Linked DNA regions of Struthio camelus. The protein of the gene in region 1 purifies or fractionates together with the protein of each later gene. This does not show direct contact. Links are inferred from orthologs where the notes say so. Each region holds a gene or a part of one and is shown in the gene's direction. Other genes may lie near its edges.

What was found.
Region 2: the proteins of RPS6KA3 (region 1) and FGFR2 purify together in Homo sapiens (affinity purification with mass spectrometry; 3 studies listed by BioGRID and IntAct, counting the BioPlex papers as one, with this or other methods). This does not show direct contact. The link is inferred for Struthio camelus from reciprocal best matches to the Homo sapiens genes RPS6KA3 and FGFR2.

Annotation. Positions count from the first base shown.
Region 1 is NC_090942.1:136,902,256-136,917,106, forward strand, and holds the start of RPS6KA3 (ribosomal protein S6 kinase alpha-3), read left to right. Parts: upstream 1-9,135; 5' UTR 9,136-9,218; coding exon 9,219-9,290; intron 9,291-14,851. UniProt on the Homo sapiens protein: Serine/threonine-protein kinase that acts downstream of ERK (MAPK1/ERK2 and MAPK3/ERK1) signaling and mediates mitogenic and stress-induced activation of the transcription factors CREB1, ETV1/ER81 and NR4A1/NUR77, regulates translation through RPS6 and EIF4B phosphorylation, and mediates cellular proliferation, survival, and differentiation by modulating mTOR signaling and repressing pro-apoptotic function of BAD and DAPK1.
Region 2 is NC_090948.1:6,142,759-6,157,431, forward strand, and holds the start of FGFR2 (fibroblast growth factor receptor 2), read left to right. Parts: upstream 1-8,539; 5' UTR 8,540-8,574; coding exon 8,575-8,582; intron 8,583-10,817; coding exon 10,818-11,074; intron 11,075-14,673. UniProt on the Homo sapiens protein: Tyrosine-protein kinase that acts as a cell-surface receptor for fibroblast growth factors and plays an essential role in the regulation of cell proliferation, differentiation, migration and apoptosis, and in the regulation of embryonic development.

The DNA of each region.
Region 1 (14,851 bases):
AAGAGACAAAGTAGGAAAGAAGAAGCAGGAGGATATAGAACCATGAAAAAGGTAAAGGGTGAAACGAGAAAAATGAAATAAGCCAGGACAGAGGTCAGCTGAACCGTGAAGCTGAGCTTGACTAGGAAGCAGAACGGAGCGAAGGTGCAGGAATGACATGAGAGATCCAAGCAACCTCACCTTGTCAGTAAGCAACAGGAGGCGGTGGGATGGCAACACTGCAAAAAACAGGACTGCAACTTCTGGCAGTGGCAATACACAGGAAATGCTGAATTTTAGATATGCAGCTCTTGAAGGTCCCTGATTTAATGAGGGGCTGATGACCTGACAATAAGGAGTACAGTGGTTTCTTATACAGCAAGTGGGAAGTTATTCAGAGAAAGGGTTTCGGTGTAAAAAAGGGAAGTGAAGTTTTGGACATGCTGTGTGCGACAATGGGAGATAGGTAAAAATAAAGATGGCTGAGCAGGAAAGAGGAGATGTGGTAAGTGAGGAAGTAGATCTACATGAGGTAGGTGAATACCTCAGACCTACTTAATATCTTGCAGGGAGAGCATGGGACTCCTTTCTTCTGCCAAGTGCCAAACGCGAGGCTGTGTAAGAAGAACGAAAAATACCCTGAAAGAAACACAAGCACAAAGTTAGGAGAACCAGGTCAGTCTTCAGGAGATAAAATGGGGAGGAAGAAATACACAGAGGATTAAGAGGACTGAGAAACGGCAGTTAGAGCTGGCTGGAAGGAAATTAGTGACAGATTTCCTGCTTGTCCCTAAGGAAAAAATAAACCCAGTGTGGAATGTAACCCGTTAAACAAGCGTGATGGTGTGTCACAACTGTGAAAGGGGTTTCTGTGGACTAAAGTGGACAAATTTGTTAGTACGGATGAGTGGTGGTTTGAGGGAATTCATAAAGGATCTATTTGTCCTGACAAACTATTAAAACAAACGAACAAAAAAAAAAAATCTGTAGCAAGGAAATTAATAATTAAAGAATCCTTGCAATAGACCAATTCAGCGCTCTCTGGAGATGGCCATCTTATTGCAATTTACACTCTCTCTTAACCAACGTCATTAGTAGTGGTTCTAGAAAGCACAAAGGAATGAGGCACTGAAATACTGCAGGAACACTGTCAACACTGATCAAAGGCCCTCGTCGTAGCTTTTGTTCAAGTAGGGCAAGCAGCTCGTTGGTGCACAGCATAAGAGCATTCATTCTGGTGGAAAAGGCAAAATAACGTCATTCCTTCCTGAAAACTGTGATTTTTAAAATAGCATCTTTGAAGTCAGACAAAGTTTCAGTTTTGCTAAAAGTGAATCAGAAGAGGAGGAAAATGATCCTGACAACTCGTTTAATCCCTTCTACTGTCTGTGGTGATTTAATACCGAAGACTGTGATCTATTAACTTGCAGGCCCACTCATGAGCTGAAAATTTGTTTCTTATTGCAAACATTTAGCTGAAGTCATTGGAAATTTTATCTGGTTGTAATTGATTTAATGAGACACAGAATGGTTGTTTGTTTCATTAATCTTGTACCAAGTGATTCTAAAAAAGAAAATATTGGCAGATTGCTACAACTGCTTAGAGTAACTACGGTTTATCAGTGTTAAAACATCAGCCTTTCCCATTTTCTGTGACTTGCTAAATGTTGTCACAAAAAAACTTACACAAAATTAACAAGCTATTCATTTGCAAGGAACAGCTGCTCCTTAAATGCTCCCTAAAATTGCTTTACTTTTCTTCCTCTTCTCTTTCTAAATAGCCCTCACCTATTCTTAGCCTTCCCTTTCTGTTTCCTCCTACTCTTTCTTTTCACGTAATGGAGAAGGACCAGCAATGTAAGAATCTTCCATAATCTCTCATCCTCCACCTAAAGTATCTTATCTGATCTAGGTCAAGTCCATACCACTTATTAGCTGAAGCACACCACAGCCACCCTAACAGCTAACCCTGAACCTTCTGCAGCTCAGACAAGACAGACTTTATCGTTTCTGACTCATCTGTCTCACATATACCTTCTTTCAACACCGCAGCTCTCCATAAAGCTCCATGCCTTGACACAGCCTTTAGGTGCTGCTTTGCAATACTTGAATAAATCTTGCTGCCTCCTCATCTTGCTACCCCTGTTGGCAAGGTCATGACTCCTGAGAAATACGTTGAGGATGTCCTTGCTCCATCAAACAGGGCAAAGCGGGTCAACGCAGCAGGAGCCGAAGGTGGTACCCACAAGGTGGGTAGGGCTGCTTCAGCTAACACATTTCTATTCACTCCTTTGGGATCCTGAACTGGCTTCCATCAGTTTCACGCCTCCTCTTCAGTAAGCACTGTTTTTGGGTGATTGATAGAAATGCTCTCACCATGCGACTGTGTCATCATATGGTCCTGGAATGGCTGCCAGGTGTCTAAAATTTCCATATTTGGAGTGGGTAGCTGCCCTTCACCCATGGGACACAAAATCCTGTTGAAAAGAAGTGCACCAGCAAGCTTTGGAGCTAGCCAACCTCCAGCTCATACTAAGTGGTGGAAAACCACTTTGGGATAAGGCAACCATCAGTGGAGCTCTTTATTCAGGTAAGTCATATATTAGCAATATATGTGCGTGTGAATCAGCAACATACCTGAATGACAAGGTGGGCAGGGCTCACCATAGGAATTCCCTAAGCGCAGTGAAACAGCAGACAGCATACAGGGAGAAGACAAAAATAATGCAGACCGCCCATTGTACAGCATGTACAACTATAATCCCTTGTGATTTACAGTTGATAATGCTACAGGTTTTATCGATCACTGGAGAGAATGTACGGACGCTGTAGCTGGCCACAGACCTGGGCCTCCCTCCGAAAGGCACCGCTCGGTTAAACTACAAAGCAAAAGACAGGGTGCATATATTAGATCCTGGTGAAAGAGTAAGTGAACCGTCTGGAGAGAACACATGGACCTTTTACCTTTTCAAAGCAGGAGAGGTAGCAAATGGTATTTTTAGGTATTATATTTAGGCCATAAGGACGATTAAGGGATTGGAGCACCCCTCATAGGAGGAGAGGCTGAAAGAACTGCGACTGCTCAGCCTGAAGAAGAGAAGGCTCAGGAGTGATCTGATCAATGTGCATAAACACTTGATGGGGGGGGGGCATGTAAAGAGGACAGGGCCGGATTTCTCAGTGGTGCCCAGTGACAGGATGAGAGGCAATGGGCACAAAATGAAGCACAGCAAACTGTCTGAACATAAGAGAACACTTTTTTACTGTGAGGGTGGTTGAACACTGGCCCAAGCTGCCCAGTTTGTGGAGTCTCCATCCCTGGAGATACTCAAAACCTGGCTGAACATGACCCTGAGCAACCTGCTCTAGGTGACCCTGATTGAGCAGGGGGCTGGTCTGGACAATCTCCAGAGATGCCTTCCAGCCTCAGCTGTTCTGTGATTGTGTGCGCTCACTTCAACAACAGGTAGCTCTGGAAAAGATCAGTAGACCACAGGGAACGAGTATCAAGTGTTGGTAAGCACGATAAAGAGTAGCTGTTAGCACAGTCAGGAGAATCCTGTTGAGCATAATTAAGGTGTAGGGAGAAGATAGTAAAGCTTTCCAGATTTAAACTGGATTCTTGGCTAAGAGACTGGTTATTCTGTAAAATGAAGTTAAGATTAAGGCTCATTAGAGTAGATGACTGGGTGAGTAGCTTTTAGAGAGATCTAGAGCTGGGGGAGGATAGCTATTTAATTGGGAGAGGGCTAGAACCTAAAATGAGGAAAATGAGGTAGTAAGGTTAGATCTCAGAAGTACTAGATAAATGGTGTCTATCTTGTCAGGAGGCTCTTTAAATATGATCTGATTTAGTAACTAAGATAACTGAAGGGTATGTGATCCTTACCATCCTAGGCCTAGGAAGCTGAAAGGGGAAGGGAGGAGACGTGTAGAGTACTTGTAAGGCTGCGGCTGCTTGGGGCCTGGTGTGTTTTATAGCAGTAACTTGTGAAGCTGACTACTTTGTTACTGCATTAACAGAACATTGAATTTTATTTTTGTCAACTTTGAGTCTTTTTAACTTGTGAACAGATAGCCCATTTAACATGTAACCCAGCAGAGCTCTCAACCTTGGAGATGGATGCTTGTTTGTACTGTAGTGTTCCCTTCTTGTCTCAAAATGCCACAATCTGAAATTCTGGTATGCTTCTAAATGTTGCACCATATATAGGTGATAACTTGTATTCTGTATTTGATAGTAGGTTTCCATGTAAGATACCAAACTCAGCAAAAGGTTTCTCAAACTCTGTGGTGTACCGGATAAGCTCCATTGCTCAGAATATAAATCTGAGCTATCCATATGGACAGAAAAACTAAAATGAGAACATATGTTGGAGACAGGTATGCTGTAATGAGACCATATTTTATTGAATTCCACATTTCCACTCAGGATATAGAAACCACAGGCAGAATGTTTCCTGCTAGTGCAGTAACCACAGATAAAACTCAAATCAGTAAATACCATAGAGTCTGATCCATTATGCTTTACTTTATTTCAGTGCTAGTGCAATTCCATATAAACTAACATACACACATAAACAAAAGCCAGAGTATTTTCAGTGGTGAGTCAGACACCATATCTCTAGTATATGTAGGATTTAGGAGCGTGCTTATTGTCATTATTCCATCTCCCGCCACAGTTGCAGGATCAGAACTTCAAAGCAGAGCCTGCCAGAGGAAATTGTAGGAAATGTTTGCATTCCAGCACAATTCCATCATCCAGGGGCCTGTAATGGTGAAAGCACCCTTCGGCAGACGTTGTTTGTAAGGTCAGGTTCAGTATTCATACACGACTGTCACTCATTTCAGGTTTTGCTTTTTAATTGTAGGTTATAACTCTCTTCAACCCTGTTCTGCATAGCTGATTCCATGCATACAGGGGCAGATTAGGCAACTCTTGAGTGCCTCTCACTCATGACAACTCATGCCAGCTGGGAACTTCTTTTAGCATATAGTCTCTCTCCCCAGCCATCATCAGTTTTCCAAACATCAGGGAAAACATGCTTGCAATATCCCAACGAGGCAAGTAAAGCACTGACTAAAGCACAGAGCAACCAATTCTACTTTCCGCTAAGGCTTCCTTATTCTATTTTGGCAGGATATATTTACGCTTCTCCAGTTAATGTCTCTTCACACTTTTGAAAACATCATTAAGAAAGACTTAAGTCTCCTTAGTTGAATCTACACTAAGTGACCAAATTACACAATTGTCCTTTGTGATCCTCTAAGAATTGAATCCAGGTGTCCCGAGAGTAAGAGGCTCTTCTGCTCCTACTGGCTATAAAAATAAATTGTATTGATTTTTTTAGTTTTTTACTTAACTCCTAAGTTTTCTTCTACATAATTTTGAATAATAACATTTGCATATTTTCCCATACAGTCAATTCAAATTATATACCTCAACACTATGGTTGTAACATTTGAAACTGAAGTTCAATTTGCACTTTCAGAAGGCATTTACTTTTTCATATTCTACGCGTTTTAATCCAGAAGAAACTACATTATAATTCATACCTAATACACTACTACACCATCTATGTAATGCGTGTGGGTTTTGCTCTCATAAATACTGTTTGGTTTACTCATTTTTCCCTTTTATTTATATTTAGAAAATACAAGTTCAAGCTCCTAAATACTATACTGTGACCCCTAAATGCATTTGATTTATTAGTCCTGTCAGAATACTTTCTAAAAGCGTGGTACTGTGACCAAGGGAAACAGGATTTCAAACCAGTTAAATAAACCGGAATTCTGCCTTCCACTTTAGTGGAAATACAACTTTGCTCCGGTTTCTTGGCATCCTTTTGGTACTGTAGTGATGCTACCAACTATTCCCGTTTTATGCTTATTAATTTGATTTTTGGGTGTGACTACAGCCATTTACTAACCCTGCAATGAATTCTGCCTTACATGCAAAGAGTTATTAGGTATTACTTCAAAGCTATACAAAGCCTTGGAAATGATTGACCATGAGCAAGCTTCCCTTATTCCTTTCGCTCACCTCTCAACCTGACTTGAGTAGGGGAAAGATAGATGAGTCCTATTAAGCTCATGTCTCCCCTTTCAATACAATGACAACTTATATTTGTCATAAGTGGTATCAAAAAAGGTGCAGTTTGTGGAGCCCATATAACGTTCATATAACGAGTTCATATAACGATACATTAACAAGATTTTACAGAGCACTGTCACTTCAGCTGCCACATGCTGTTCTTCTCCTAAAAAATGTGATCAAGTTGAAGTGCATGTAAAACATCTGTGTAGATGCAATATGATAGCGACCACTTCTGCCAAGGTGAATTCAACCCCTACAGACTCTGGTGACAGGCGGTTATTAATGGTGACTACATTCAACATGTGATAGCTGTGCTTAAAGGGGAAGAGGGTAGAAGGAAAGGTCTGCTGCCACAGGTGAAAGCACGAGTCTTGCTTTGGCCTGAGACAGAAGGAATGAAAACAGGAGTTGCTGTCTCGAGGCAAAATACCTTCAGTGTCTTACCCCTCTCTGGACGATCCAGCCCAGAACTTAGCAGGATCCGAAAGTCAGAAACCCCCGCATCTCCCAGACATCAACTGATGTGTTTCTCTTCCCCATGGGGACAATCTACAGATGTTTTTTTCTGCCCTGAATTCTGTTCCTCTGTAGTAGCTCTTATTAAAATCCTGATGAAGCTGTCTCCTTTGTAAGATTTAAATGTGTGGTATGATAATACTCAAATAAGCCCCCAAACAATTAAATGGCATACTTCAGCCCATCCTCCTCACATCAGTGCCTTCGAAAAGGTCAGGTTTCTGTTGTTTGCAGCCCTTTTACATATTAGCACATAAAATCTTTGCCTTTATTCTTCTGGATTCGTAGGAAGGACAACAGATGATGAACATTTTCAAAGGCCCTGACTGAAATGTGACACCATCTCTCCCTCTGAGAAGAGCTTCAAACTCTAAATAAATGATTTGGAACAGGTATCTATGGCAGGAAATGACCAGACAAGTAGGAAGGGAAGACAGGAGACGATAGCCTTTATTTAGAGGAAGGAAGTCTTACCATATAAAGAGGGATTGCTTGAATTATGTTAAACGCAAATTTAAGTAATTTTTTTCTCTATTACGGTTGCCACCCTTGAGCTGATCAGGTTCTTTTTCATAACGGCAAGTCTCAGATGTGGGTATTTGACCGTGTAGTTAGCGTGGGTACAAATGAATGAGCTGCAATAATGTAAATTGAATTATCCCTGTGAGGGAACAGAAGCTGACACCTCTAAAGGGATGGAAGCAAACTTTTCTTTCTTTACAGACTCTTACACGAACTCAAAAGATAAAGAAAAGCATTGATGTGTGTGTCAAACACACAACGTACAACTGCTGTGAACATAAGCTTTCCATTCAACATTCCAGCCGCCAGCTCGAGACTAAAGTGACCTGGTTCTGATCAGACTACAAAATTGCTATTAACCTAAGCGTAAAAGCTGTCAAGCACTACTGAATTATCTCTGTTTTCTATTGCCTTATTCTAAACTTCATATCAATAACAGGCCAGAATTTTACAAACCGCCCCCCTGTTGTCAAAGGGGGCAGCCCTGATTTCTTTTCAACTTTTAACTCAAGCTTGGATGGGCTTGGGTTTGTTTTCTGAGAGGTGGTGGTGGTTTGGGGGGTTTAGTTTTTACTTGGCGCTGTTCTGCAGTCTGACTCACCACGTGGCAGCACCAGCAATTTCACCCGTTCAAAAGAGAGGCTGCGGCAAGGGCCAGCACGAAGAGCAGCAAGCAAGGGGAGGGCACAGCTGCTGCTCCTGGCAGCGGTGGTGGCTCGGGGGGATCGTTCCGCGATGACCTTTTACGCCAGATATGGAGCTCGCTGCAGCACCGGCTGAAGTCCGATTCATTATGGAGCACGGCCTGTCCATTACTTGGCACCTCTTAGCCGGCAGGCAGTCACGCTTACAGAAATAAAGCGGGACGAAAACACGCTGCCGAGCAGAAACAGAAGTAGCCTGTTTGCCACATCAGTGTGCGCACCCACGTGCTTTCATGCATGCGCGCACACGCGTTTTTTTAGGTACTAGCACTCCTGCCCCATCATCCCCTTGCCCCCCACCCAAATAAAACGACATTAACCTTTATCGGGGGTGAAGCAAAGCACGTGACTTACGCCCATCAACACCTGGAAAGGCTTTAGGACAGAGTCGGTGGGCAGGGGGGCGAGGCCTGTGGAAAACGAAGCGGCCCTTCTCAGGTAGGGTTGGGAAAACTTGGCAGCGAGGCGCCCAACGCGGGCGTCCACCTTCGGCGGCGGCGGCGGCTCCGGCCCGTCGGGGCTGCGCGGCTGCAGCCAGGCCGCAGGCCTGGGGGGGATCTCAGCCTGTATTTCAGCCAGCTGTCCGCGCCCCAGCTAATAGCTGAGGAAACGGCGAGGAGAACAAGCCCTTTCCCCGGCTCCGCTGGCAGCTCTGCCCTCGCGGCCTGCACAAAGCACGGCTTGCCCGCTGCCAGGCAGCTCCCACCCACGCAGCCCACCCCGCCGCCGCGCACACGCCACCCGCTTCCGCAACGGCTCCCGGCGCCCCGCTTTCTCGGCCGCTGAAGCCTCCAGCTCCTCAACCCGCACCTCCGACCGCGGTCTTTACGTCGTCCCCGTCCCTCTCTTTCCCCCCGGTACTGCCTTCCCGACGCGCTGCGCCGCCCGACCCGCGGGCCTCCCCCCCCCGCGGCGCCACCCGCCACCGAGCCGGGCCGCGGCTCCGCCCCGCCTCCCAGCCAGGCCCCGCCCCCTCCCGCTACCTGCAGGCGGCGCCGATTGGCCCGGCCCCGGCCGCGGCCCCGCCCGCTGGGGGTGACGCGCGCGTAGCCTCGGCTGGGGCGGGCAGGTAATGGCTCGGGCGCCATGTTGTGCGAGCGGAAGCCGGGTGCGAGCGGCGGCCCGGGTGGGAGGGCGGAAGCGCGGCCCCGCCTGGCGGCGGGGAGGGGGGAGCGCGTGGGGGAGGGGCGGGCGGCGGCAGCTCGGCGGCCGTCCCCGCAGTCGCTGCTGCTGCCGCCGCCGCCGCCGTGAGAGCCGGCCGGGGCTGTCCTGGCAGCCGGGGCGTCCCGCGCCCGCCCGAGGGCTCGCTGCCTGCCTCGTCGCGCCTCGCCGCCGCCGCCGCCGCGGGGGGGTGGTGTGGGGAAGCGGGGCGCGGGGGCCGCGGGCGCCGGGCGGGGAAGATGCCCCTGGCGCAGCTGGCGGACCCTTGGCAGAAGATGGCTGTGGAGAGCGCGGCCGAGAGCAGCACGGAGGTACGGGCGGCGGCGGGGAGCGGCGGCCAGGGCGAGAGCCGAGCCCTGGGGCGGGGGGCCGCGGTGCCCCGGGGGTTAGCGGGGCGTGTGGCGGCGCCGGTGGCGTGTGAGGGCGGTCGGGGCAGGGGAAGTTGCGAAGGGGCCGCGGACGGGGCGGGGGGGGGAGGCGGAGACGGGAGCGCGGCTCCCGCCGCTCTTCGGGGGACGGAGAAAGTTTCCCGCGGCGGGTGCGAGGGGGCAGCGAGCCGCCGCCGGGGAGGACGGGAGGCGGGGGGGCGGTTGGGGCTCCCCCGGCGGCCGGGGCTGGGGGACGAGCGCGGCGGCGGCGGCCGCCTCGTGCGCGCCGCTCCCTCCGCCGGGCACTGACTCACGGCCGGCGCCGGCCGGGGCTGCCCCGCGCCGCGGGTCACGGCCGCCGCCGGCTCCCTCCCCTTCCGCCCGCCGCCCCGGGCAGGGCGACCAGCGGCTCCGGCGGCGGCGGCGGCTTTTGTTTCGGCGCCGTGCCCGTTCGTCGGGAGCGGGTTTCCCCCTGCCCCGGGGCGGCCCTGCCGCCTCCGCACGCACTTCCCGAGCGGCCGGAACCGGCCCCGGGATTGAGGGGGAGGGGAGGGGAGGGGAGGGGGGGCGGTCAGCCCGGTCTCGGTCCTGGCCCTGGCCTCGGCCGCGGGGCTTGGCCGGCGCCGGCGTCACTTTGCCGGCGCCCTCGCCTTGCCGCTGCTCCCCCTGCGGCGGGGAAGGGTTGTCCCCGCCCGGGTGCCGCTGTCCCCTTATCTAAGCAGGATGGGGTTGTGTCTCTGCAGTTTCGCAAGCGTTTGGGAAACCGCACGGGCGCTTCGCATTGGTGAAGCTCGGTGCTCGGCCGCGTTTTGTGGGAACATCCCTGAGATGCAGCCCAGTGCGGTTTCCTGCTTTTGGTAGTGGGGAGTTGGTGTTGCGCTCGTGTCACCGTCGGGCAGGACGCGTGTGAGCTCTTCCAGGCTGAGATAATGCCAGGAGCTGGAAATTAGCCTCGCTTGCACCCTGAGATCGGGGGCTACGGACGCCTCCAGTTATTTCCAGTTCTTCTTTACCGAGTACTTGCTGCTCTGTTGGTTTGGATCTACGTAAACACCACACGTACAGAGACAGTTGTGCTTGCTTCGTGGTTTCCTAGTCATCTGCAATGTACACCCTAGTTGACGGTCAGACTCCCATCAGAAAGGAAAGGAAGAGCTTCCTCTGATGGTGCAGCTTGTACCTGAATCTCCTCCAGCTGATACGCAGCCAGTCTGCTCCAAACCATGATTTTGAACAGTGTGGATTCAGGCCAGCCCACAAAAATTAGTTTCAAGGTTAGGGCTTATTCCTAATGAGTGAAGCAGAGAAAGATAGACCAAACTGAAAAGTTTCTGCAGTATCAACGTGTTTGTCCTCTTGATGTTTGTCTTCCTTCTGCTTAAAGTGACTGCATCTCTGGAAGTCAGAAGAACCTGGACTTCTGATCTAACAGACGCATCTAACTGTCTTAAATTCTTGCTGTTTACTGTAATTTCCCTCAGTGACTTTTGAAGTGGTGCTCTTAGATGAGTATTTTTTAGTGAAGAGTAATTGGAATAGTGTGATGCTCAGGGGAGAGAAGTGGCAAGGAAGGATTTTTCTGCAAGGCCGTTTACACTAATGATTTAGAGAATACATCTTAACTGTTAGTTCAGTCTTCCTTGCTCACTGCATGTATTCTATGCGTCTTGAATAACGCTAGGGTATATATACTAGAAAGGTAATAAAACCAGATAATTTGAAAAGTACCTATGTATGTGGTTAATTATGCTCTTTTTATTACTTCCTTGTTTTAGTGCACTTTAGTTCCATGATTTGTTTTTAAACTACTGTCATAGATTTCTTGAAACTGGTGTATTCTACCTCTTCCTAAAGTGAGGGAGGGAGGAAGGAGTAAAGCACTTGCATTGTCTTGAGTCTACAGCAGTGTGTCATAAGGCATCTAAAAAAATTCACTGGGAACACTAACAAAACATGAAACAGCAACTGAACTGACAGGTTTACAAGGTAAGGTCCTAGTCTAAAATAAATATCCAGTGCTTGAAAAGACCAGATTGCACCTGTAAAAGCTTTTCCTCAAAAGGAAAAGGTAGACTTAAAGAAGTTGCTTACCTGAAATGAGTTTTTAAGAAGAGAAGATGTTTTAATGAAAATTGATAAATTTAAGTCAAATAAACAAATGACCTAAGTACATAAACAACTCATGCGAATTGAAAATGTAGTCATCTGCAGCATAGCAGTATCCTAATTACAGACCCTATCCTGCAAGCACATCCTTGGGCAAAGATATTTTTTACATCCTCATTGTGCTTTCAGTCATAGTTTGATAATAATAATGTCTTCAGCAGTAATAACAGGGTAAAGAGTTTCCACTAACATGGCAGATTTGCTGATGCATTTTTTTGTAATGCTGTGTTATCCACATGGAATCATGGAATTAAGAGCTTTAAAACTTATCTCAAATCCTTTTTTGTAATCTTAACTCTGAGTTTTCATATTGGATTAATTTTCATTTTTTATTACCTGGATTAAATTTTTAGGACTATGCAGTCCTGTACTCAGTTTCCTATTGGCATCACTGAGGAGATGAATTATTGTGATACATGGGCGTATTCTATGGGAGGAGTAAATACCTTTAACTAGCATTACTCTGAAAGACTACATTATTAACGTTCAACAACTGTTGTAACTTAGTGCGAGTATAATCAACAGATCTGTAGAACGTGGTCTTTCTTAAGAAATAATGCAAGTAGTTTTTTAGATGTGACATGGATTTATAGTTTTCAGAGGTAAGCTGCAGGAGTTCTGTTTCTACAAGTACAACGGAAATATGTCGGTAATCTCCATTGCGTCTCTGACAGCTTTTTCAGTGAACAAAGTTATTGGACACATTATCTTAAAGTTTGCATATTGAAGTGTGTGGGTATATACAAATATTTTAAAAATCTCCTATTTTAAATCATGGCACCTTTAAAGCCTGTGGAATTGTGGAATCAATTTTATTGATGCAGGGTCTGTCTGATTCAAGACCTGCAACAAAGCATGGATCTGTTTTTCATGGTGAGAGTGTGCCCATTATTCCAAGACAACTGCTTTCAAGCAAATTAAACATTGGTGATTTGAATGCCTGAATAACTAGCCTGGTCCTTTGATTTGTATTCCCAGCAGTGCATATTAATGTTGACTGGAGGAGAATGAATAGTTATGACAGCCAAACTGTAGACACCAATATGTTGAAAGAGTTGGCTATTGTAAAGGGTTTTCATTTGTTAGGTGTTGTGGGAAGCATTTGTGCTATTTCTCTTTAGGAGTTTTAATTTAGGTGATCTAAATTGGCTGTGGAGGAAGTTCAGTTTTTTCTACTGCTCTTAATAGTGGATTCATGATTGCCTACTTAGGTGATTACATATATGGTATGAATTTCCCCTCTCAGAACTCCTTATTTTATATCCTGTATCGAGAATTATCTGAACCTTGCACAAGACAATGGTTGGTGCCAACGTTTAACAGACAGGAGAAGTAAGAAAAAGTCATGCTGATGCTTATAAGAAGCTGGTATATTGTAACTTTTCCGTTGTAATTCGATTCTAATTTCAGTATGACATGCTTTAAGTCAATGTATGCTTCTGGTATGGAATCTGAAATTTATTCGATTTCTTGCCACCTTAAGCTATAAAATTCCGGTTGCAATTACATCCTTGCAGTCTATGCTACACAATGTAATCAGTGTTCTTGTGTAGGAACAAAGGTTATATTTACAGTAATTTCTTGAATAGTCAGAACAGGGAAATGGTCAGAAAACCAAAGTAGAATCATCTAAATGGGGTGTTATATGTGGATTAGGAAGGCCATTCATTATGTCACCATTATACTGAGAATTTTTGTGCCTCTCCTTGCAGCACTCACCAATTGCTTCTGATACATATCTATTGTCATACGGTGCTGTATCCTGAGGTTTTATTTTTGCAGATACATTAAGTGAAATTTTGCTTACCTGGTAAAAATGGACTTTAGCGATTCAGTTCTTATCTATACTAAGAAGTGTACTCTGCATTCAAATAAATGGTGTGACAGAAGAGAGTTATGGATTTTGATGATTCCATCAGTAAAACAGATGTTATATCTATGTGAATACTGTTTTCAGAAACATACCATCTGCAAGAAAGATGTTTATCTTTGGGTTTTTTGGTTTTGTTTTTTCCCTCGGTACCAGCTTTTCAGATCCTTAATGGTACAAATTTACCTCTGATGTTTTTCAGTTAACGCATTCCTAATAAATATGACCTAGTATTAGTTTCTTGATATTGATGGGGGGTGTCACGCTGCTTGGTGAAGTACCTTTGGACAGTGTTCTGTTTCATAGTTCTTGGTTTCCTCGTGTAAGATGTTGAATTTAGCAGTTCTGAGCATGTAATTGTGTTGTTCATTATAGCTTATGTAATATTTCCCACAACTGGATGTTTAATAGAGATGTAAATAGATTGAAATGTTTGAAGGAAAGTTTGTCTTCTCTATGTTAATTGTGATGCATTATACTAACTGTAGCTGGTTTTCATTTAAAATGAACCATTTATCACTGCGAGTCTAAGGTGGCTATTTAATTATTTCTGCACAGCAGAATATTAGCTTTAATGGTTAACTGATCTTGGCAGTGGGCAAAGCTGTCTGCTTTAGGTGCTTGTTCAAGATATTTTTTTTTGTCTTTCAAATATAATTCATAGCCATATTCCAGCTGTAGAACTTTTTGCTCTTACTTGAAGAGTTCTTTAAAATTTGCAGGTTTTTTTTCCTGTCTTAATGACTGCTGAGAGGCTGGATAATTTAATTGGCAAAACTGGAAAAGCGAGAATCTCTTCAAGGAATTTTTAAGGTCAGATGAACTAACGCTGTAGACTGTTGCAAGTATTGTACTATTGCCCTTGCATACCTAATATTGTATTCTCTCTTGCCTCTGTATTGTCTGAGATAGAATTTAAATGCTTCACCCATTGGAAATGGGGGGGAGGGGGAACTCCTGTTTAGCAGATGGGGAAAATGAGACTCAGCAGCTTGGTGACTCCATCTAGCATAATTCATAGGGTCTGTTCTAGAGCTAGGAGATCAGCTCTGATTTCCAGGGACCTACTCCAGTGGCTCAACCACAAAGTTACTGCTAGCTCATTCTTATCAGTAACAGTTACCATATGTCCTTTTTGATGCAAGGAACCCCCTGTGGTACGTTTAAAGCTCCACTTACTCTTTTTGGAGGAAATGGGCCTCTCTTTTTTGGAATTTGAGTGAAGCAAACTGTGGCATGTGTCTTCTAACATACATTATTATTGGCTAAGTCTATTTTCTAACATAACTTTTAAGAATGAAATCCTGTTAACATTTAACTTCACACATTAATTTATTAGGCCGGTTCATGTTTAAGCGTACACAGGAGATGTAAAGAAAACTGTTTTGTCATGATTTTAAATGTCCGTCAAAACATAGCTTTGAAAAGTAAATCTTCTTACTGCTTTGTTTCTTAAAGCCAGACTACT
Region 2 (14,673 bases), on another chromosome or scaffold:
GCAGCTTGAAAAGGTGGTTACGGAGTTAACAAATAAGGGTTGTTAAACCTTGATGATCCCCTGTTTACATGGAGGCTTTCTTGAGCAGAACACTGGCTTCCCTCCAAGGCCATCCAGTTTCTCAAGTGGAATTGTGGGTACTTTAACCACCTGCAAAGTGGATGGGAGGGCATCTCAAATTGGGGATTTGAGGGGATAAAAGACGTGGTTTCACTGATAAGGTCCCTCACAAACACTAAAGAAGGAAATTCCTGTGGAAACGGTGGTAGGAGACAGAGAAATGAAACTGTGTGCAAAGGACAGGAAGAGAAGAAAGAATATGGACTGCTTAGAGAATTCTCACTTAAAGATGCTTGATGGATGAGAAAAATGAGGCAGGGGAATACTTGTAGGCATTTAATACTTTATTACATATGTATGTTCTGTGGTAGTGGAAAGTCAAACGTGATTTTTTTTTTTTTTGAACTACTACAAAGTGACCATGTCTGTCTGAGTCTGCAGCTGGCGCTCTGAAAGAGCAAACTGTAAGTGTAAAAGCTTGGCACTCTAGCGAAGGAAGTGGGAAGCGGAAGGGGTCTGCAGGAATTCAGTAGTCTAGGACAGCCTGAACACAGGACCCTACCCGAAAAGAATAACGGAGTGCCTATGTTATGGATCTGTGCCTACTGGTTTTCTTCTACTCCCAGGGTTTAAACTGTAGCACTGACCCTGCTGTAATCCCCACTTAACACCTTCTACCCTGAGGTTGTGCCTGAAAGTCATAGCAAGCTTCCTGAGCTCTGTAGTGTCACTAGAGCAAAATCTGATCTGAGGTATCGTTGTATGGGAGGCTGCCACAACTCCCGGCTGGTCTAATTAGACAGGAGAGCTTTAGTAAAACAAACCAGCATGTATCAATCAACTGGAAACAGAAACAAAAAGTGCATGGGCCAACAAGCCAAATATCTCCAAGAGATATAATCTGTAACAGAAAGAAAAATCGTCTGTGCAGCCTTTGTCTTCTCATTTTTATAAGTCTGTCTCTGTCTTGCTGTGCCCTGCTCTCAAGGAAAAGGTTTTATTCATATGGTTTCTCTAGGGCCCTTTTTAAGGGGAATCACTGTAAAAAGATACTCTTCAATGGATACTACTTCCCCTTGCTTTGGAAAAGATATTCTCCCCAGGTAACTGCCCGTTTGCTCTTTAGGGGAGCGTGGATTAGAGTGCTGAGTACATACAGCACCAGGCTCATCTCTTGGCCCAAAAAGGTTTTAATATTCTCTTTCTTTACAAACCGTATAGTCTAGTGTGGGGAATTTGAGGCAGGTACCCTGAATATTATGAAATATTGTCATAATCTCTGCATAATCCTTTCCCAAGAATATACTTCAGGGGCCTGGAGAACAGAAAGTGTAGCAGAGCAGTCCAGTCGGACCAAATGAATATTAAGAGCTCAGAGGCCCAGTACTTGAGGCTGAAACATAGTGCCTGAGTGAATTTCGAGCCAGAGATGCTCTACCCGGAAAGGACAGTGTGTGACAATTCCTTTATGAGTGGATACATAATAAATTGAGGATTTTCTTTTATTTTGATTAATTAGTATTCAATATTTGCATTATGGAAGTGCCTGGAGGTTCCAGCTGGGATCAGTGTCTTATTGTTCTAAGCAGTGCATGAAAGCATGGTTACAGATGAGGAGCTTACCATCTAAACAGATGAAATGGCTAAAGGATGGGAGACAGGAAGTAACTATTATTCTCATTTCATAGCTGGAGAGTTTGGACATAGACAGATTAAGTGACTTTCCCCAGACTGTGTAGGAAAGCTGGCGTGGAATGGCAGACAGCATCAAATGTCCAGCATCCCACAGTGCAATACCCTAATTATAACACAGCACATTTCCTGTTTAAATGTATCTTGCAACAATGTAATAATAATAACAAAGCATTTTTGCATCTTTTCCTTAAGACGTACAATATGTGAGGAGTACCCAGAAAGGTTACATGGCTATGGGGTGTAACTATCTGAAGAGGGTGATGAACCCCAAATGCCGTTACAAAACGTTGCTTGCTACCTTAGTAGTGAAGATGATCTGTCTTTGTTCCAACTGCTTGGCAGTACTGGCTAAGGTGATTTCTCTTAGAAGATTCTGTTGTGGTGTAATAGACAGGGAGAAAAAAAATTGATAGTCCAAAGGAATGAATTTGACACAATCTATAGCTTAATGAGAAGGAGTTTTATTATTGATAAACACTCAGTAAAACTATCCCCTTGCAGGCTGGAACCTCCCTCCCGCCCCATAGATTTTGGTGCAGAAGAACTTGGTAGCCAGCTTGTTCCAGACTTAGGGGTAATTACTGGATCTACTGACATTAAAATAAAGATTTTTTATCATAGTCTTTCAATTTAGCAGCATCTTGTAGTAATACGTGGTGAAGGCTAGTGACATGAGTCTCACATGAGCTGGAGCCAGCCTTTTTATGTAAGAAAGGGTTAATATTAATTTATGTGAAGTCTTTCCCCCAAGAAATTGAGAAACAGATATATCAAATAACTTTGCTTATCATTTAAAAGAAAAATTTGACCAGATTTTCAGAAGTGTGTTTCTATGATCTGTATTTTGGCACCTTAAGAAAAGTTCAAAGCTGCCAAGAAAGGGAGCCATAAATACTTCGGGAACCAGGTAAATATTATGGCTGCCAGAGCCTGGGTTTAGGCACTTAGTTTTAGAAGAACTTAAAAAAAACCATCTTGGACAAGTATTTAATTGTACGCAGCACGGTCAAGCAAAAATTGTGGACAGACAGCTTGAATAGGGATGAAATGTTGCTTCCCATCGTCCTCCATGGAGAAGCTAAGCACTTGGTGATGTGCATGGCCAAATTAGGATCTAGAGGTTTTTTCCCCATAGCTCACAAAAGCCTTAAAGCATGCATTTTCTCTTTCTTTTGTTTTTCTTCCATATTATATTCCTATTTTTCATCAAATAGAAATATGACATGTGAGCAAGTCCAGCACCGGTAGTAGGAGAATTTGCTGCCGGCAGGTACCCTGTGGCCTACCTGTCGCATACCTTGCCATCTGTCTGCAGTGTGGCAGGAGCTGTGGCTTGTCCCTCACTGGAATTCCCACAGAGGAACAGGTTTCCATGGGACCCTGACTGCGTTAATATCTCCAGGATATAATAAAAGGTCAGAGAATCTATGCGGATCAGAACTGAGGGTTGCTCAGAAACCCTGTATTTCATTTGTTTCTAAGGTGACATTTTCCACATCATCCATGGGAATTAATTGCCCATCTCACCTTTTCTCTCAGAGGATGCAAGCCCTTTTTCTTTCTGCTTTGTTAAACTTTCATCTCCAGAAGCGCTTGAGCTGGGCTCTTGCGGATCCAACTCAGGAGCAGTCTGAAGTCAGGCACATTTCCATCTTGCCCTGAGATGCCAGGTGGAAATGAGTTAAGTCTTCACTCTCCCAGGGACAGAGCCTTGTTCTGCTGCAGAGATTTTGCTGAGCCCAGCTGTGCTTCCCCTGCAGCTGGAGCCACCTCGTTTGTACCATGCCCCCTGTTGAACATTAACTGTATCCCCGCCTGTGTGTGGAAGGGGGAACCAGGAGTCCAGCTGACAGCAGTGACAAAGAGCTGGGAATACTGAAAGATTCAATTTAACTTTCCTTCTCCTCCCCCGCTTCCATATGCTAGGGGACAGCGCTGTTCGGGGCTTTTGAAACTTGTGGTGCAAAGGAGCATTGGTGTCCTCATTTTCCTTCCTCCCTATTGATGTATCATTGCCAGGATGAAAAAGGACGTCTCAAGAGCTTTTGAAAAAATGGGTGACTACTCAAGACATTTTATAAAGGAGGAAGAATGGGAAAGAAAATAGAGCTCGGTAGGGGGTAGAAGGATTCTGAATGTGGGCCTTGTCTGTCTTTTCTTCTGCTTGAAACCTGGAGCTGTTGTTCCTATTTCAGTTCAAACTGTCACCTTTAGTTCATGATGGCTTTACTGCCCTTGCTCCTGAACCTCAACAGATTGGGGCTTATTTACCTATTCACACTCCACTGTGGAACCTCATTAATAGGCTTATTAGCCACACCATTCACGTGCAGGAGGGCTCACAAAAAAGATTCCAGCCACTTTGAGAGGAGGAGGAAAAAACTGTAAAGAGATTATGCTCTCATTCAGCAGCCTAACTGCTATGAAAGGCTCCCTGGGCCCACTGAGATCTCTTGAAGCCTAAATATGATGACAGAATTGATCCCCCCACCCCCTTTAATTCCAAACATGCTTCTGCTTTTCTCAGATTGAGGAGTGGGGCTGCTGTGGGCCACTTTTAAGAGAATGTGGCTCATTTAAGAGAATAGGGTGCTAATGACAGACTGCTATCTTTTCATTCCTCAGAAGAATAATTCCTGACGAGTGCTTCCAGACATTGGAAATAGGTGTTCTGATTTGTCATTTTTAGTGGAATGCTTCCTTTTCTTTCAAAGTATGCAAAGATATCGATGAATGGGGAAAGGTATTGCAGCTTCCTGTGTTAGACAATAATTTATGTGAGAATGCATTAACAGTGTTTTCAATGGGCAATGGACATGCTTGGACCTGGGAAAATTGGACCTTGACTGTGACATCTCAGCTTCTCAATTAGAACATTCAAATGTCTGTGGCTCTAGGAACCAAAAAAAAAAAAAGAAAAAGAAAAAAATGTGTTTCTAATCAATTACAAATTTGTCTGCTGTCCCTCACAAAGCCTGCCTTGCTGCTGGTGATGGTGGGAAAACACTTTCTGGGAGGTAAGCACATACTCTACAGAAAACTTGTTTTCAGGTTTTTTGCTGTCTGGAAGTATGTACAGAGTTATACTGTTCTGTGGGGTCACAGTCCTTGAAGATCCCCTCTGCTGATAGAGCACAGAACAAAAAGGTACAGTGGAGCTATGCTTAAATAAAGCAACACTAAGTTGATCAACGCTGATTTAATTTGAGGCAACTGCCGCTTATTGATTTCATTGCCGAGCTGATTCTACAAAGCAAGCATTACACGGACTCTGTATTAGCAACCTTTTAGTTAATGATATCTAAAGCAAATGTTTTATTAAGCAAGTATCAGTTTAACTTGCACTGAATTTTAAATGCTAATATTATGCATTGTTCTAAATCTTGTGTGTGCAGGCAAATAAGATCTGATGAACTGTTTTGACAGCTTTCCCTCCTTGGGCACCACATACAGAATTATTAAAGGTGTACTGTCAGAGGAATCCAAAACAGTTGAAATCAGGCTCTGCGCTAAAAGGGCTCCTGAGACGAAGGTGATTTTTTGACTGCATGTTATCTCATCACCCTCGCAGGCTGGAACAGGCTACGGATCAGCCAGCCATGGCCCTAAAAACTTCAAGAAAGATTCTCCGGGAATGTTGTGCTGGTACCATTTCTGCATGAGGAGCCCAGTCCTGCCCTGCCTACGCCGCCGGTGCGGGCCGTGGCCCCGGTGCGCGGAGGGGACGCAGGCGGGCCCGGCCCCGACCCAGCTGCCCCGGGGGGGGGGGGGACACGGCCGCCCCCTCTGCCCAGCCGGGAACACCGGGGCGCGGAGCGCAGCCCTTGCGCGGGGGCGGGCCGGGCCGGTGCCCAGCCGCGCTGGCTGCGCGGCGGCTCCGGCAGCGCACGGCACAGCACCGCTCCGCTCCGCTCCTCTCCGCGCCGGGCGGCCGCGGGGGAAGGGGCTCCGCGCCGCGGCCGCCGCGATTGGCAGAGGCGAGCAGCGCCGTCCAGGAAACGGCTCGGGTTGCAGCGGGGGGAGTGACCAGGGGAGGGAGGAAGGTAGCCGGAGGAGTGTGCAGAGAAGAGAGAGGGGAGGAAAAAAAAAAAAAAAAGGAGGAAAAAAAAAAAAAGAGGAGGGTTGTCGGCTTGACAAAGCTGCGGCGAGTACGGGAGGGAGGCTGGATGGAGCGGACCCGGACCCGCGGCGCTGCGCTCGGCGATGCCCGCGCGGGGGACGAGGCTGCTGGCGCTGGGCACGGCCGGGTCGCCCCTCTGAGGCGGTAGCCTGCCGCAGCGCAGCGCAGCGCAGCGAGGGGACGAGCAGTCGGGCCGGTTTCTGCCTCGCCTTCCCAGCCGCTGCTCCTGCCTCCCCGCGCAGCCGTGCGCCGAGCCGCGTCCCGCCCGCGCCCCGCGGGGGATGCGCCCCGCTGCGCCGCTGCGGGCTTGCCAGCCGGCCCCGCCGGGGCTACCTGCGGAGTGACCCGCGGCCGCGGAGGAGTTTCTCCCCGTCCCGCCGAGCCGCTGCGAGGCACCGCGCTTCGCCTCTGCCCGCCTGTTGCGGCGGCAGCGGACCCTTCCCGCGGAGCTTTTCTCCTGCAGGTAAACGGCACCCGCTTGGGTTTGCGCCGGCGCGGGGTGGGATGGGGAGGGGGGGAGCGGGAGGCAAATGCAACCCCCCCCCCCAAAAGGCGAGGTGGGGGCAAGGTGGCCGAGAGCGGGACTCCCCCCCCCACCCCGGCTTCTGGGCGCCGGAGCCGCCGGGGGCCTCGCACCTGGTGCGCGGCGGCGGTGGGGCGGGGCGGGCCGCTCCGCGGGCCGCGGAGAGGTGCGGGCCCGGCCGGGGGCGGCCCGCGGAGGGGCGCTGCCCCGCGGCTCCGTCCGCAGCCTGCGGTGCGGGGCTCCGCGGAGGTCGGGGGGGCACTTCCATCACTTGACCGTCTTTGCGGCTCGGGGTGCGGGAGCCTGGCAGAAAAACGGAGCCCGTTTGGTGCGCGGAAATCTCTGGGGAGGGTCTGCAGCGGTGACGGCACGGCGACACGGTTAGCGGGCTGCTTTTTAGGAGGGAGGCTTAACCTTGCCCCCCCCTCCACCCGCTCCCGACCCCCGGAGAGGTGCTGGTAGGGCCGGGGGCGCAGGAGCCCCCGCAGCCCCCGGCCGCCGGCGCCTCGACGGGCCGCCCGGAGCCCGGCGCAAAGGCGGGGAAAAGCGCCGAGAAGCGGGAGGTCCTCGCCCGCCGTGCCCCGCCGCGATGCTCGGGGTTAGAGGGCCAGGCGGTACATAACTGCCCCCGCCTGAGATAAGGGGCGGGGGGGGGGGAGAAAAGAAGAGATCCTCAGTGAAATATATATTTAAATGCAAAACGGCCCGTTCAAACAGTGATCCATTATGCGTTTGGTGTGAAACGCTATCAACATTTAAAACTTCATTGTCTCCTTTGTACCAAATCCCTGTAAATCTTCCACTAGCCTTTACTCATTTTCATCTGAAAAGCCTGTTTGGGCTGAATAGACAGCAATCAGCAGCCTCTGGACTTCTCTCTCTCTCTGGAATGTCAATTAAAATGCAGATTTTTTTTTTCTGATCTCTTAGTGGCAAAAGACTTGAGAAAAACAGGATAGTCCTGGAAAGCAAATGAAAGAAGTTTGAACAATGAAAAAGTATTGAAGCCGCCAGCCGTTTCCCATTAGTCCTCCAGAATTAATGTTTAATAGCTGTGATGCTCAAATCTACTTGGAGATTGAACAGTGATGAAGAGTCTTGTTGTCTATATATGTATATGTAGATATATATGTGAGTGTATATATACACACACACACACTTGTGTATTTATGTTTTTCATACATGTGATTATATACATGCGTAACAGTTAGTTTTAAAGCTTCATGTACCTAGACTTTTCTGATGAAGCTACTAGGCTGTTGTTAGGGCATCTGGGTTTTCTTTGAGGAGGGAAGATTCATGTTTCATTCAGATTTTGCTATTCCGTGCCTAGTAGAGAAAGATGCTAAAGAGTTATACAATGAGCAATGTATTGATTTGGTTAACATACGCTACAAATTGTACTCTCCCTGGGGAGTGATAAACATCTTATAAACAACAATGCAAGTAGATTAAAAAGAACATGGAGCATTGAATTTAATTAGTGCCACTGCTGAACAAGTACTACTTGTTTGTGTGTGTGTGTGTGTGTGTGTGTGTGTGTGTTTAAACTGAAGTACAGCTTGGAGGAATTTGGTTAGGCTCCCAAACCAGTCTGCTTTCCCATGCTTGTCAGTTTGGCACAGAAATTTGGGCAGGTATGTGACGAGGTGAAAATTGACTTGATGAGCGAGTGGCAAGGAGAGCCATCAATCATTGGAGGCTGACAACTCCTCCCCAAAGTGTAGGCTGAGAAGAGAGACAGAGTTCCCTTTCAAGGGGAAAAATAAACACTACGTGTGGCTTTCACTGAGTCTGAGACTCCAGGAGGGATTATGGTATTGTAGTCAGGAAGCCAGAATTGTGGAGGCCAAAAAGCATGCTGGGGCTGTGTTCCAAACATTGAGATAGAGGTACATAATTATCCAGTGCAGGAGGTCTTTCCAGAGAATCGTCCCCCAGCAACTGTGGCAATTAAACTATGAAAAGAATTTGGTTTCATTTCTTTTTCATTGGACTCTGTTTTTTTGGGGGAAAGGGCAGTCCTTGAACCATGGTCACTATCATGGCTGTAGAAGGTGTTTTGGTTCCATGGATGGACCCAGAGCTCTGATTTTTGCTTTGCTACACCTTTGCAAGATATTTTTAAAATTTTCTGTTGTCCTGTGGATGAAGAATCCCTTCTTTCTGCTGGCAAATGTTCAGGTACAGAAACTGTCAAAAATCTTCAGGTGAGAAGGTGCGTTGGCAAGTAGCCCTGTGCTACAGTTCAGGACTTAGTATGATGGTAGGAGCCACATGCATGCTTTAAATCACTTTTAATGTAGCCTAAAAGCCTTAAACAGCTGAAATGTGAACGGAATTGATGCTGTTTAAAAAAGAGTCTGGAATATATGTTAGCATTCCAGTATGTTTTCTTTTTTGCGAAATTATGATTAAATTTTGCATTTGTATACGTAGGCTTTAATCAGGTTTCACAGGATGATTTGTGGAAATTGAATTAGCATTACATGCAGTCTGTTAATTGGGATTTTTACCCACTCTACAGCTGGATAAACTGAGCCACAGCACTGTGGCTGTCAGACAGTGAGTCAGAGGGTTGATCTGGGTGATAGTGTCCAGGAGGGCTTGCTCCAGTCCTTCACCAAACACAAACCAGTCTTCAATTCTACACCTGCTCTGCACTTATTTAAAGAAGAGGTGTTCAGAGAACTCTTCACAAATGTTTATGCAGTGGTCTGGTGGTATTTTCACTGAAGATTTAATAGTGGTTGCTAGCTTGTGGTCTGAAAGAGGATGGAGCATTGAGCTGATACTAGTTGAGGTGAAAAAAACTGACTTCAAATACCATGGCTTCACTAGAAATACCACGTATTAATGATTTTTCCCCAACTGTCTTATTTATGTCTTCTAATATCCATTTCTACTGACTCCAGAAATTATTGTGTATAGTATCCCAGAAAAAACACCGCAACAGCATTTCTGCTCTTAATACGGTGTACCTGGTTTGTATGTACCAGGTCTTAGCTAAAGGCTAATAAAATTTGAGTACGCTTTTTAATGGTTGCCTTTACAGAGGGAGAGAGTATTTGTCTCTGTTTCTGAGTACAGCATGTTGAGGTGCTCTAGTGTTCTGCGCATTCAGATGGCAGGGAATTTTGAGAAACTTTCCTTTATCCCTTTGTTTCCCCCTCTTCTTTTTAAGGGTGAGGGCAGGAGGGAAAAATAGGTTTTATGCTTTTTTTTTTTTTCCTTCAAGATGGGCACCCTCAAAACTTGGGTTAACTTTCATCATGTTTAAGATTGATCATTGGCCAGATTAGAACAATTGATGCAGTTACTTGATTTATCCATTCACTGAGGTATACTCACTTTTATTTTTGGAGAGGAAAATAAGGTGCCATTTTCTGGATAAGCTGTTAAGCATGAGGATGCTCTTCAGACCCACACCTGGCATCTTGGTGTGGTGGTCACTGGGTCTGACGCTGAAGGCAGTGTCAAGTAGTTTGATGCTGTTTTTTCTCCTCTCTTTTCCATCAGCGCATAGCTAATTTACCGAACAGTCATCTTCGTCTTAAATGATCTGTTTTGCAGTGAATGAAATAAACATTTCCCCCTCATTTGTAAAATACATATCAATGAGCATCCCCAAGCGAGAATGAGCAGAAATGTGCGTGCATGGGTAAGCGTGCTTTGCAGCTTAGCATTGTGTGGATGGAAAATGATGCTGGGGAGATCTCCTGTGAAACGGCAATCTATATCAAACTTTATACGGATTTTAATTGCCTGAAATCCCCTTTAATTAAGAAGTACCGCTGCAAAGACTGGACCCTTTTACCTGTACTGGATTCTCAGACATTCAAATGGACACTGAACTAAGCTAGGCGGAAGGAAGTGTAGAGAAGAGTTGGAATTCAGGCAGTGATGCAAAGTTTTCCAGATTTTCTAGCCTAGAGAGTATTTTTCAATTGTTTTCCTTGTAGAAGATTACTGAATTATTGAAAATTCAGCTGACTGCAGAACTGCCTAGGTGAAGGACTGAAAAACAAGGCAAACTTACATAAACTGTCAAACAGTAACAAGAATACAATTTGCATAATTGTGGTAATTTTGTAATATTAAAGGTTATGTGCCTGCACATGTGCATGCTCTTATTTTTTTAAAGCTATATATTTTTCTGTCATTAAAATAACTCTCTAAATATGTGCTGAGAAGTGATTTGGGGAAAACAAGGAGGACTTGGTTACGCCTCAGGTGATGATGGAAACTGCTAACAGAAAATGAAAAGTCACTCACTTTTCACATATTCTTGAGGCTGGAAAACTACTTTTCCCATCCTTCTCCTCCCACTCTCAATCCTGTTTGGGGCTTTGTGAAGTTTTTTTGGTTTGCATTTGAGATGGTTTCACTGACACTGTTAAATCTCTCTTTCTCCCACAGCAGCAGAAGACGTTCCAAGCGAGGAGGTATTATCGTGGCCGAAGGCACTGCTTTCTGTCCATGCTTCTGTAGAGGTGTTCAGATGGGATTAAAGTCCACATGGAGATATGGAAATGGACCAGGAATTTACACTAAAAAGATGGTCAGCTGGGATTCAGGTTGCCTTATATGCCTGGTGGTGGTCACCATGGCTGGACTTTCCCTGGCTCGACCTTCATTTAATTTAGTTGTTGAAGACGCCACGTTGGAACCTGAAGGTAAATCAGTCTAGAATGCTTAATTCTGCAGTATAAATTAATTTTAAATGCCTGAATTTTTGAAATAGAAATCAACATCTTTCTGTGCTTTGGTAAATATAAGGCAAGTAACAGATTAGTTCTCAAAAGTTACGTGTTTTCCAACTTTTCCTGTTTACACATGGGCCGTGTTCATGCAAGGCTGCGTATGGTTAAGCATATGCAAGCGAGTGGTGTCAGTGATTTCACTTAGCTTGTCATCACTTCATATAATCTAAATGTACGTGTAAAAAATCTAAATGTACGTATAAAAGTTTTCAGGAATGGATCTTTAAGAAAACCAGTGTGTTGCGCTTACATGCCTGTTACATATTGACATCTCCAGAAATGCAAATGTTTGTATTGCTGCATGCCTTTGTGATTGTAACTACCTGAAAAGTTAAGAGGAAAAGAAAAAGCCCAATAATTTTTCGCTGTATGTCCTGGTGAGTTGATTTTGCAGGGCACTCTGCTAAGAGAGTAAAAACGGGTGTCTCAGCGTTATTGGTGTTTGTAGTTAGTTACTATAAATTTCCCTATTGTTGTTCACGTCCAAAAACAATCAGTGCGCTCTATGGATTGCAAATTGTAGGAGTGTGAATGTTTATATTTGAATAGCATGAGTAGCAGTTTATTCCTGTGAAAGCAAAGACTAACGGAAACAGTTATATTGAAAGAGATGTCTCGATGAAACCTCCTATTCTGAGCCTTCATCTAGTGGTATGTTCTTGTAGATATATCCTTAACATAAACTTTCCAACGTGCTTCCCCTGTGTAAAGAGTTAAGAAAAGGCTGGGTTTTTTATTAGCATGAGTCGGCTGTATTTAAGAATGATAATACTATTTTCTGTAGGACCTTTCCTGCTCTCTGAACACCTTGCGGGAAGGGGAGGCTTCCTTCATAAGGCTGTTGTCTGCTGTTCAGTGAAGTGGTTGCTTTTGTAATAACTCAACTATCAAAACAATATAGTAGTCCATAGATCATTTTCGATCCAGTAAGCTTTCTGGAGACAATTTGGTCTTTACACATTCTCCTATTCATGTGCAGGCATACAGCTTTGTTTTTGTTTAATAAATTTTCACGCAAAACTTATTTGTTTCTACCCACTGCCTCTAAAAATAGATGTCACCAGCCAGCACATTTTTAGAATCCTTTCCAAGTACATTTTTATTGATGGCAGAGACTGAATTATTTAGAGAAGATGAGCCATCCTCTCTAGCAAGCGTTCCTGAAAAAGTCTAACAAGTATAGTAATATTGTCATCTGTCATTGACGGAGATTGTTGATAGCAAAACTTTTCTTTTTTTTTTTTTTTTTTTGGAGGTAACATGAGAATCAAAAAAGCCCAACTCTCCTCACCACTTACTGTTTTATTTGTTAATTGTACATCTGGTGCCTTTTTGGCTTTTCACAGGAATGACAAAATCATAAATAATTCTGGTTTCAGATTAGCTGTTTGCAGTGAGGTCCCCTAATTTTAGTGTTAAATCAAAAAGAATGTGGCTGCATGTTTGGTATAGTATTTTATAGGGAGAAGGGTAACATTACGCCTGGTGATTTTTCAGCTTTTCACCTTTATTGTTTTAAAAAGCACAGTTTAAAAATATGCTTCTTCCAAAATGAATATCCAGCGGGTAGAATCTGGGTTTTATCAAAGTGTAAATTGTTAAAAGGGGTTTAAAATGTCTTCCCTGGGCGGGAATGTTTCTTATATGAAACAACATCAGATGTGCGAACCCTGAATCATTACCAGAAAGGAGAGAAAAGCTTCCAAGTTAATGGTATAATAAGAGCTTTTATGCTGTAGAATACAGGGAATTGTGTGGGATTTATATCTGAGATTTGGGAAATAAAACCTCCTTTATGTACTTTGTTAAACCCCTTTAAAAAAAACCTAATTTTTTACACAATCACCTTCTCTGGGTTTCATCACTGCCACCCACAGGCTCTCTGGGCTGAAAACAAAACAAAAAACCTTTTGGAAAAAGTTCTTCAAAGACAAAGTTGACTTTTTTTTTTAATTTTGTAAATGCCAAATATTTTTGAGCCACAGCTAATTTGGAGGGTCAGGTGCTCCAACAATATAAACTGGTGGTCGGGCCGCTGACTGTACCGTCATTGGCGCTATGACATTTCATACCAGCTGAGAAGGTCGGCAGGGCTATGACCTTTTATGACATACTTTGATCTGTTCCTTACGTTTGATAAAACCTCCTATTTTGAGCCTGTATCTGTTGGTACGTTCTTGTTTGTATATCCTTTTCCTAAACTTTTCAAAGCCCGGACACACCTCAAATTTTGTCTGTTTTGGTGTTGGATGCTTTTATTGTTACTATTTATTGTCTTAGTGACTCAGAATGTGCAGAGAGCTGTATGCAACTTTAACAGGAATTGAGATTGTAGCCTTTTATTTCTTTTGATTGTAATATATAACCTCCAGTTGAAATACATTCTTGTCTTTTAGCTCAATACAAGTTTAGGGATATTTGCAACCATTTTGTCCCCAGTATCTGGTTAAATATGTACTTTAGCACAAGCAATATTTATCTAATAGGGTAATCAACTGCACTGCTATCCATACAATACAGGATACATGTAAGAAGTTGTACTGCATCAAAGTATTTTACTTTTGGTTATCTGCGGTATATCTGATCTCTTTGGTGGCAAGCTTCTCTAAGGTGCTCTTGTGAAATGATGGACTAATTGAGCTGTGAATCTGACCTGTGACCATTAGGTGTTACTGTGATACATGGAGGAGTATTTGTACTGAAGACAGTATCTTGAGGCACTACTGTAAATGATAATGTCAATGTTGATATAATGGATACTCACTAAGGACTGGATCCTGCTTGTGTTTATCACTGGTTGCAGTTTTCTTCCTTAAGCAGTGATAGGTAGTAACATCTGAGGCCGCAAGCCGTGTGCGCGGCAACAGGACCTGCAGGAATTTTGGGACTGTCAACTTCCGAATTATATCAAAGTGTTTACACTTATATCAAGTGTTTGCATATATGTTTTTTATTCTCGGGAGCTTAGAGAATTTCTACTTTTAAATATTTAGAAAAAATGTCTGCCCCAGTGTGTATAAAGGAGTTATTCTCTTTCTGTGTACCCAGGCTATGAAGTCCTTTGATGATAGCCAACGTTTCAAAAGGGCTTTGACCGCACACATAGGTTGAAGGGTTACTTTGTGAACTGAATAATTAGTTTAGACATATATTTGATAAATAGCAAGCTCTCCCTTGACCTTTCCTTGCCCAAGTTGTGTGTTATCGTTCTGCTGGGTAGCTAATTTAGTTGCTTCTGCATATAGTGCCCTGACGCTGTCCTTGGAGCACCCGCTCAGAGCCCTCGCCGGGTGCAATAACAATGTGTTTTAGTTCTTTTAATTTAGGTCAGATTTCAAAGGACTAATTTAAGCTTTCCACAAGAGACAGCCTAATTCCATGTACTGTGAAAATCACAGTAGTTCAAAATGGGCCTTAAATGTGTGTTTGGGAGGTTCCTAGCAGGAGCAGGGACTGAGGCTTGCTCTAGCACGTGATGTGGGCTTACGCTGGACTCTGAAAGTGAGCAACAA